Saccharomyces cerevisiae S288C: one gene and its partner. The protein of the gene in region 2 binds, or shares a complex with, the protein of the main gene of each other region. Each region holds a gene or a part of one and is shown on either strand. Other genes may lie near its edges.

The links.
Region 1: IES3 (region 2) and IES4 share a complex: the UniProt entries of both Saccharomyces cerevisiae proteins name them as parts of the chromatin-remodeling INO80 complex.

What each region holds. Positions count from the first base shown.
Region 1 is NC_001147.6:687,713-691,811, forward strand, and holds IES4 (Ies4p), read left to right. Parts: upstream 1-1,911; coding exon 1,912-2,262; downstream 2,263-4,099. Other genes in the region: MSB1 (Msb1p), read left to right, coding at 1-1,468; SPR1 (glucan 1,3-beta-glucosidase), read left to right, coding at 2,983-4,099.
Region 2 is NC_001144.5:244,208-250,078, reverse strand, and holds IES3 (Ies3p), read right to left. Parts: upstream 2,879-5,871; coding exon 2,126-2,878; downstream 1-2,125. Other genes in the region: OSW2 (Osw2p), read left to right, coding at 1-1,362; NRS1 (Nrs1p), read left to right, coding at 1,653-1,979; FCF2 (Fcf2p), read left to right, coding at 3,102-3,755; EMA19 (Ema19p), read left to right, coding at 4,007-4,492; MLO50 (Mlo50p), read left to right, coding at 4,907-5,871. UniProt on the Saccharomyces cerevisiae protein: Probably involved in transcription regulation via its interaction with the INO80 complex, a chromatin-remodeling complex.

The DNA.
Region 1 (4,099 bases), on a different chromosome or scaffold from region 2:
GGAATTAATGTACGAACACGATGATGACGACAGTGACAAACTTAAAAATTCCCAGAAAAGAGCTACCGACTCAGCTATTGAAGAATTAAACGGTATGGTTGAAGAAATGATGATTAATGAGCCAGACGATGTAAAAATCTCCATAACTGAGGCAGAGACTTTCGAATCATTGACAAAGTTTGATCAATATAAGCCATCCAATATAACTGACGATGACTTACAAAGCAGCCATTCAAGCGCCGTTCACTCATTGAAGCTAAGTACAAATACAAATGATTCTTGCGCTGATAGTTCCAAATACACCGCTGATAGGAAATTAGCGGAACCTAGAAAGATTTCTGAGGAATCCAAAGTCAACGACGATTCATCATCATATTATTCTCCAAATATCAACAACTTGCCGGCATCAAGAATGCCTAGTCAACCCACTTATTCAAATTCGGATTCGAAAAAGGCATTTACGAATGAGTCTCGCCTGAACGTCTTACAAGGTGCAGTCAGTCCATCTCAACAGGTAACACCAAAACCATATAAAAATGCGCCTGGAGACTGTGTATCTCCTGTTCAGCAAAAATACTATCAGAACGATCGTAGAAATGAAATGTCGCCTGCAAGTGCACCAGTTCCACCTTCTGCATATTCACCTGCGAGGTCTCCACAATTCTCCACCAATTCGGCTGGATTCAAGCAGAACACGATTAATGTACCCGTTGGGTATAATGATCCTGCTCACGTTTTAGCAAATCAACCACATATGACATATCGGGACCAGCATAATTATCCATCTCACCAACAAAAACAACGTCCCTTCCAAAACAATATTGTGCCCCCAGAACTAAAGTCCAGAAATCAACGGGCAGATGCTTCACCTATTCCCCAACATATGGTGCCAGTAAAACAAGGTGTGCCCAATCTTCCATCTAACGTTCCATTATATCAACAAATGGAACGAATGAACCCTAACCACCAGCACCCTGTAAATACTTACAAGGTAACTCAGCCGCCGTATCATAATAACACAACAAATGCTTATGGGAACAGCCGGGCAGGCAATGCTCATATGTTAGATGGAAAGTGGAGCAATAATCCGCCGCAAATGGTACCAAAGGGAGTTCGCCCCAATCAATATCCACAGCAGCACGTTAATAGGTATTCACCGCAAGCTCAACCTGTCGTACCTGCGGAATACTACAATGGACCTCCACCTATGCGAGCACCTCCAATGATGTCCCATATGGTACCAGCTCAGGAGCCGATACGTTACACAGCTGGTGCTAACAGGCGTAGTTTTCCCCAAGGCATGCAGCAGAATGCCTATTCCGTACCCGCTCAGCCTATGGGGGCTGTAAATAGTGAATTTTACCTACCAGAAGCTCCTCAGGGAAACAAACTGCATGGAAATATTAACAAAAGACAGGAGAGAAAGAAGCTATATGATAACATTAGAAGCGGAAATTTCGGCATATAGAAACACTTTGTATCTGAAATTATCATCTTTATGAAATCTCAACAGTTGTAAAATTTCCCGAATATTTATACATATATATGTGTATGTAATTACAAGTATTTAGGACAATAAGGAGAGATTTAAGTCTACTACATAATTTTTAACTCCTACAAATGGCAGGTTACGTTGAGTAAGAATATAACATTTTATTTTCCATATTCAACATCATATGCATTTTATCATCTCATCCTCTTAGTCACTAATTTTTCTAACGCTCATAACAAAAGGTGCGTTACGCCGTCTAGAGCTTTTCTTGAACGTTAAAACTTTACCAAGCAGTTGACGGGTAATCATTCTCATAATCCAAGTAATTTTAAAGATATCAACAAAATGTACTATAATGCCAACACATTCTTTACTTATATTGGCCGGAAGATAAATCCAATTTCTCGAGTAATTGTGGTATGTCCCAAGAAAGTAGTGTTTTATCAGAATCGCAAGAACAACTAGCCAATAACCCTAAAATAGAGGATACAAGCCCTCCCTCTGCCAATTCGAGAGATAATAGCAAACCTGTACTTCCGTGGGATTACAAGAATAAAGCCATAGAGATCAAGAGCTTCAGTGGTTATAAGGTAAATTTCACCGGCTGGATAAGAAGAGACGTAAGAGAAGAACGTCAAAGGGGAAGCGAGTTTACTGCATCTGACGTTAAAGGATCAGATGACAAAGCTACAAGGAAAAAAGAACCAGCAGATGAGGATCCTGAAGTAAAACAACTTGAAAAAGAAGGAGAGGATGGACTGGACTCATAAGGTAATGTCAACAGCTTAAAGTTGTTCTCAGGGCCCCACACTTTCTAGTTTGGCACGTCATTTATGAAATTCACAAATTGGTTACATTAAGTACTAAATCTGGTAGCCGACCAAAAAAGAACAACAAATATACAATTGTATGAGTAAATATGCAATATAAATCAAATGTATTTAGTTAAAGGGCCAGAAGTAAGGCTACAGACTGTAAAAGAAAATTAGATGGAAACCCTCTTCAGGAAAAAAGGACATTATAAAAGATACAGCCAAGAAGTGGGCGTTTATAAAACAATTATATAACATGACCGTCGATTATATTCTGACAGGAATGGCGACGATTGCATCGTTATATTTCATTTCATTCCCAACTCAACGATACTGGTATCAAAAAGCCTCTCTGTTCATTATTTGTCCCACTACAAGCGACTCTCTTATTTTTGGCGGTCTCTGCCAGCTTAAGAAAAAGCGGTTACCAAACGACACTAAAAGAAGCGGCGCGTCTGGTTCATTAGAAATTTGTCAGTAATGCTGTCAATCTTTGTGTAAAAAGTCTTTCCATCAGTTGCCACCCCTTTTGTAGCAACTTCCATGCGTAGAACAACCTCACATTCATTATTTTTTTTACCCTTCTCTTTTAATTGTTCAATTGCGAACAGACCATCCAAAGATTCGAAAGAAAGACTGAGGTGCTCCGCATAAAATCTTTATAAACTTTAGAAGTAAATGGTTTCGTTCAGAGGGCTGACTACACTAACACTACTTTTTACCAAATTAGTAAACTGTAATCCTGTTTCCACAAAAAATAGGGACTCTATACAGTTTATTTATAAAGAAAAGGATAGTATATACTCTGCCATCAACAATCAAGCCATCAATGAAAAAATTCATGGAGTCAATTTGGGTGGGTGGCTAGTATTGGAGCCGTATATTACACCTTCTTTATTCGAGACTTTCCGTACTAATCCGTACAACGATGACGGTATTCCTGTTGATGAATACCATTTTTGTGAAAAATTAGGCTATGAAAAGGCAAAGGAACGCCTTTATAGTCATTGGTCGACGTTCTATAAAGAGGAAGACTTCGCGAAAATTGCTTCTCAAGGCTTCAATTTGGTTAGAATTCCTATTGGGTATTGGGCCTTTACAACGTTGAGTCATGATCCCTATGTTACCGCCGAGCAGGAATATTTTCTAGACCGGGCTATCGATTGGGCTAGGAAATATGGTTTGAAAGTATGGATTGATCTTCATGGAGCCGCTGGTTCACAAAACGGATTTGATAACTCAGGGTTGAGGGATTCATATAAGTTTCTGGAAGATGAAAATTTAAGCGCCACCATGAAAGCTTTAACGTATATTTTAAGCAAATACTCAACAGACGTATACCTGGACACCGTTATTGGAATCGAATTGCTCAATGAACCGTTAGGTCCAGTTATTGACATGGAAAGATTGAAAAATTTGCTTTTGAAGCCGGCTTATGACTATTTGAGAAATAAAATTAATAGCAACCAGATCATTGTAATACATGATGCTTTTCAACCTTACCATTATTGGGATGGGTTTTTGAATGATGAAAAGAACGAATATGGCGTCATAATTGACCATCATCATTATCAGGTGTTCTCGCAGGTGGAATTAACAAGAAAAATGAATGAACGTATCAAAATCGCCTGCCAATGGGGGAAAGATGCCGTAAGCGAGAAGCATTGGTCCGTAGCAGGCGAATTTTCAGCGGCCTTAACAGATTGTACAAAGTGGTTAAATGGGGTTGGTCTAGGTGCCAGATATGATGGAAGTTGGACCAAAGACAATGAAAAATCTCATTACATAAATACGT
Region 2 (5,871 bases):
GGAATTTGCTTTGCACAATGTGGAAGCAAAATTGCAAGGTTTTTGCTAGTAAAATCACAAGGTGAAGAAGAGATTAATTTTGGGAAAATCGTAGAATATTGCAAAGGTAAAAAACTGCAACTTATCAACTCTACGGCAAACGAACATCCGGAATATTTATCCTTACCGTTTGAGCCTTATTGTTTCTACCACCGATTTGAATATCCTGCTCAAATTCTTTTGCATCAGCCCATCATTTTGGCCAAAAAGTATGGTGTTTCGTGTTCAAATTTAAATTTCCTATATGGATTCTATACGAGGTTACTGACACTAAGTGGGCTATCAATAAATGGTGGAAGGTGTGAGCATGCCTTGTCGATGTTGGACAGCAGGATTGGTGGTGGTATTAACGTTGCTTCAGGAATTAATAGCGGCCAAGATTTTACCGATGGTGATAACGAGGATCAAGATAAAGGCAAAAACAGAGTGGACAAAAATGTAAAGGAAGGTTCTTTCATTAGTTTAACACAACGATTCACGATGACAAGTCCACTGGGTGTCAATGATCCAGCTTTACCAGCGGACTTAGAAAAGTTGTATTTAGGTGCAGAATACATTAGCAATTGCGACGCAAATACATCTGGTGGTCAAAAACGAGTAAAATCTCCAACTAAAGCAGATACAGGCTACGATGATAAACACTTGCCTGATGATACGATACATACATTTGAAGATGAATATTTGGCCGATGAAGACGACTTTTCTTGCCTTGGAATTGACAAAAGAAGCTCAACAAAGCCCACAAAGCCTCTAGAAAAATTTGGAGTGGTTGCTGTGCCACACTTCATCAGGAGGTTTTCTATTAAAAGGTCGAGTAAGGATAAATCAAATGATATGAAAAGACCATATACTACAAGCAGCTTGGAGTTGCAATTAAGGTCAAATCACTTTATGTTCGCCAAAGAATACCAAGACTTACATAGACAATTATATTACGAAGTTAAACCAAGGACGCAATCAGAATTGGACGCAAGACGTCGAAACTATTCTGAATTAGAATCTCAGATGTGGAAAATTAAACATCGGTTCAATATTCATAGAGGAGCACTGCCTCGTCCACGAACGAATCCGTATGAGCTATTACTGGACCACATTGATGTTTTGAACCGTGGCAACACTGGGGATATTTTGAGATTTACCACTAGTAGATACGGTGGTGTAGATACGTATGATTCCATCTTGAGGGACCAATCCACGATCATGGAACTTTTAGATAAACGGTGTGCCTATTCACCTCCAGTACTGTTCGATAATGAGGCTAAAGAACGTGATCATGATCGCGATTGTTATCAAGATTACAATCACGACCACCGGAGTCATTAATATTAAAAAAAAAAAATGTGATTGTTAATAAGGGGTGGGATGCGCGAAATTCTATGCCTACAGTAGAAAGCGGTTGTTGCACAAATGATTAAATCTTTATCTCCAACTCACAATACTATCGCGATAGATGCATAATATGTGCAGCTTCTAAACAGCACGGAGTGATGATAAATACGCATATATGTATATATATATGTATGTGCATATGCACGTCCTTTTAAAACTCAAAATACAACATTCTTAGTAAATCCTTTTGTTGACACACGTCGGAACAACTCAGGACGGAGTTAATGGATATGCTTCATAATAAATGTAGTGATGCTATCAAAAGCACCTCCAATAGCAATTTGAGTAATGAGGTAGACAAACAAAAATTGCAATACGATGACCTCGGGAACACCGGATTTTCTGAACTATTTGAGATGGAATCTCAAGATAATAATGATAGCATAGAGGATTTCTTGTTCTTTAATATAAATTTAACCCAGGAGGTTGAGTTCGAGAACCAAAGACAATATGAGCACACGAAAAAGACAAAGAAGCATAACCCATTCTATGTACCGTCAGAGGTAGTGCGAGAGATGGTCAAGAAACACGCATTGAATGGCAGAATATAGTTAAGCCCGATAACACATTCTATTTTTCATGTTTTAATAACGTTTCATATATGAATTTTTCTCAAATATACGATATATACCTAAATGAATATGCATATGGAAGTGAAGTTGGGGATTTTGCAAACTTGTCTTATGTTAATCTTGGCTTAAAGAATGTTTTCCAAAAGGCCGTTCTTATTAATTTTTCTTCTCTTGGTTCTGTTAAATGCTAGTGAATTCGCATTGACGTTCGTTGGTATGGCTACTGCTCCGAATGCGATTGGATGGCTTGCCTTCCTGCCACGATTACTGAACAAATCGAGTTCTACATTTGCATCCAACAGTAGTTCTTTCAATATAAACCACTTTCTTTCTTTCTGTGAAAGTTTTTGGTACTCTTCAAGCAAGTTCTCTTGGATTTTGGTCAGTATATCAATTTTTTCATCATCTGATAAGTCAGGGTCCTCAGTTTCTTGGTCCTGCTCCGCTGCATTTAATGTTACAATTTGGTCATTGACAGCTTGTAAAAAGTTGTCATTCATAGCGTAAAGATTGTCCTTGTACAACCTTGTCTTGAGGGTGCTTATATCTATCTCATCTTGGTTAGCGTTCGTTATTACATTCCCTGGAGAATTCTTTATCATTTCATAGTTCATTTTCGATATGTCATCCACGGCAACAATGTGTCTTTTGAATGTCGTGGTGTTTGTGTGAGTGGAAGCAGTTGAGGCGGCATTTGCATCGGTAGCTGTAGATGGGGTCGAAGAACCTTGTTGATTCAAGCCATCTGCGTTATGAAATTTTTTGTGATGTGGGTCTTTCTCCAAGAAATCTGGAGTTTTGACACTTTTGTAATGTTGAGTAGCTGCATGAGCAAACTGCACCTGTTTATTGGTTGCCAAGAGGTCTTCGAACTTCATTGTTATGATTCCATTGAAGACAGCTATGTCAGTTAACAACGCAATTCCCCCTTTCACACGAAAACCTTTTCTCTAAACATCCTTCTCTTTTATCATAATTCGTGGTTAGTGCCGGCCTAAAAATTTTTCAGCATATTAAAACAGAAGATAGAAAAGAAATAGAAAATGCGATGAGACGTCAAGTTTTCCAATTAAAGAGGACGTGAGAAAGGAGCTGTTAAACATGGATCAAAGTGTGGAAGACTTATTTGGAGCACTAAGAGATGCTAGTGCCAGTCTAGAAGTAAAAAATTCAGCGAAGGAACAAGTTTCTCTTCAACAAGAGGATGTTTTGCAGATAGGCAATAATGATGATGAAGTAGAAATTGAAAGTAAATTTCAAGAGATCGAAACTAATCTTAAGAAGCTTCCTAAGTTAGAAACCGGATTTGATGCTTTAGCAAACAAGAAGAAGAAGAAGAACGTCTTGCCTAGTGTGGAGACAGAAGATAAAAGAAAACCCAACAAGAGCGACAAAAACGATAATGACTGGTTTACCTTACCAAAGCCAGATGATAACATGCGTCGTGAAGTTCAACGAGATTTATTGCTGATTAAACATAGAGCTGCTCTTGATCCAAAGAGACATTATAAGAAGCAACGTTGGGAGGTGCCAGAGAGGTTTGCTATTGGTACCATAATTGAAGACAAGAGTGAGTTTTATAGTAGTCGTATGAACAGGAAGGAAAGAAAGTCGACTATTTTGGAAACACTCATGGGTGATGAAGCTTCTAATAAGTATTTCAAGCGTAAATACAACGAAATTCAGGAGAAATCTACGAGCGGTAGGAAGGCACATTACAAGAAAATGAAAGAGATGAGAAAGAAGCGGAGGTGAGATAATGGAATTTTCTTCGCCACGTATTCCATATAGTATATTGTAAAGTGGTTTAGATTACATAGAAATATTCAAAAGAATTAATAATTTGCATATCGTTTAAAAAAAAAAAACCTTTGAAAACATAGTAAAGAATTATCGGCTTTTGTACAGGATACGAATTAGTAGGTATAAAAGGAACAACCGCAGCAAATAAGTACGAGAAACGAGCCACTCACGTGAAAACATATAGAGAAAAGCGACCGGAGATAATGAAGCTAGGACATCGTGAGCAACAATTCTACTTGTGGTACTTCATCGTTCACATTCCCATCACCATATTCATCGACTCATCAGTGGTTATTCCCGCTAAATGGCAACTAGGGATTGCGCAAAAGGTTGTTAGTGATCACATCGCAAAGCAACACGATTTCCTGCTATCAGAGAAACCAGAATGGCTATACTGGTTTGTAGTCCTTGAGCTAGTTCTGCAACTACCCCTTTTCGTCTATTTCGTCAATAAATTCTGGAATTCAAGCGAATTACAAGTTAATACAAATAGCAGATTGAAAAAGTGGTTGCGTATCTATGGCTGGAATGCCTCTCTAACTACCTTGATATGTATCGTTGTTATTTTCAAGCGTGGTTACATTCCTTACGATGTGCTAAAAACAAGCTTGTCCATGACCCAGAAGTGTCAGTTAGCCTCGGTGTACCTACCTACATTCCTAATTCCTTTGCGTTTGTGTTTTGTGTAGCCTGTGTCGGCTATATATACAGTATTAGTGACTATATAGTTAATTAGTGACATATGCCACTAGTTTTATCTAATTATTGTGCTGCGTTTTGCAGTATTCTTTTTTATTTGAAACGCGTCACAAAAGTTTCGCGTCCTTAGGGAAATGGCTGGTTTTTGTTTTAAAATAGTATATTATCCTTGATGTAATTTAGCAAGAGTGTATTGTAAGGGAACAGTCTGTTACTGCCATTCCCTCATCGCTAGATCCCCCTTCCCTCGCTTATTCCGTTACTTTCGCTTTACTGAGCCATAACCAAGCGCACGCATACATATATATATATATATATATTGTGCTGCACGTATATATAAATAAATCACGCGTACAAGGATACGTTAGCCAAATTCTTTGGATATAACAAAACAGCTACAACTCATGGTTAATAATATCATGCACGAGTACGTACCACCCAGTCAGCGGCTATTCCATAGCAGGCATAGAATAACAAGAAACGATTTGAAAGAAGAGGCCCTACATTCCGGGACCACAGATTGGACAACAATTCTGGACACAACAATAGATAAAGATACTAATCTCATTAGTTATGCTGTCCCCATAATAGACAACTTTGCCATTCCTCGAGCAAACTCTCAGGGGAGTCCTGTGGCCCCTTCGCCGAATCACAGATCAACGATGTACTCTTCTTCATCTTCTTCTGCGTCTTCTGTGTTTTCTGATGGTTTGTTTACTCCAAACAACAACAGGAACTCATCAGGATCATCTTCATTAGTCATTAGACCACAAAAAAATTTGAGTGTAGATTCTTTGATTCAGGAAAATAAAAGGAAAATCAATAGTGAAAAAGAATCGTTATCATTAATTGCCAATAATAACGATGAAACCTTGTGCACTCATACTGATCCATCCATACAAAACCTCATTAAATCGGAAACAAAGAGGAACATCTTAAATTTAAAGTTTCAAAATAGAAACTTATTTCGAAGAGAACTAAAATTGGAAAAGTTTTGGAGCAATTTGAGAAGTTGTCATACATCTGGCGATGAGACGGACCTGCTGTTGGTGATAAGTAAGCATAACTTATATTGGTTTGGGATACCGAACGATTTTCGTCTTCCAATATACAAGAGATGTTTATATCACTATAGCGAACTAGACGAAGCCGGATTTTTCAGTCAGTATGCGAACAACTCATTGTATCTAGCAATAAGGAAATGTTGTAACAACGAAGAGCAGGAAACTCTATCCCGGTCTATTTTCATCAATTTGACGAAAAACGTTACCTGGTTGAATAGTCGTTTCGATGACAATAAGGACAACAAGAATTCTTACACGGTTACTGAGGGGAAGTTCTATCAGGACTTTCCTAACTTATACTACCA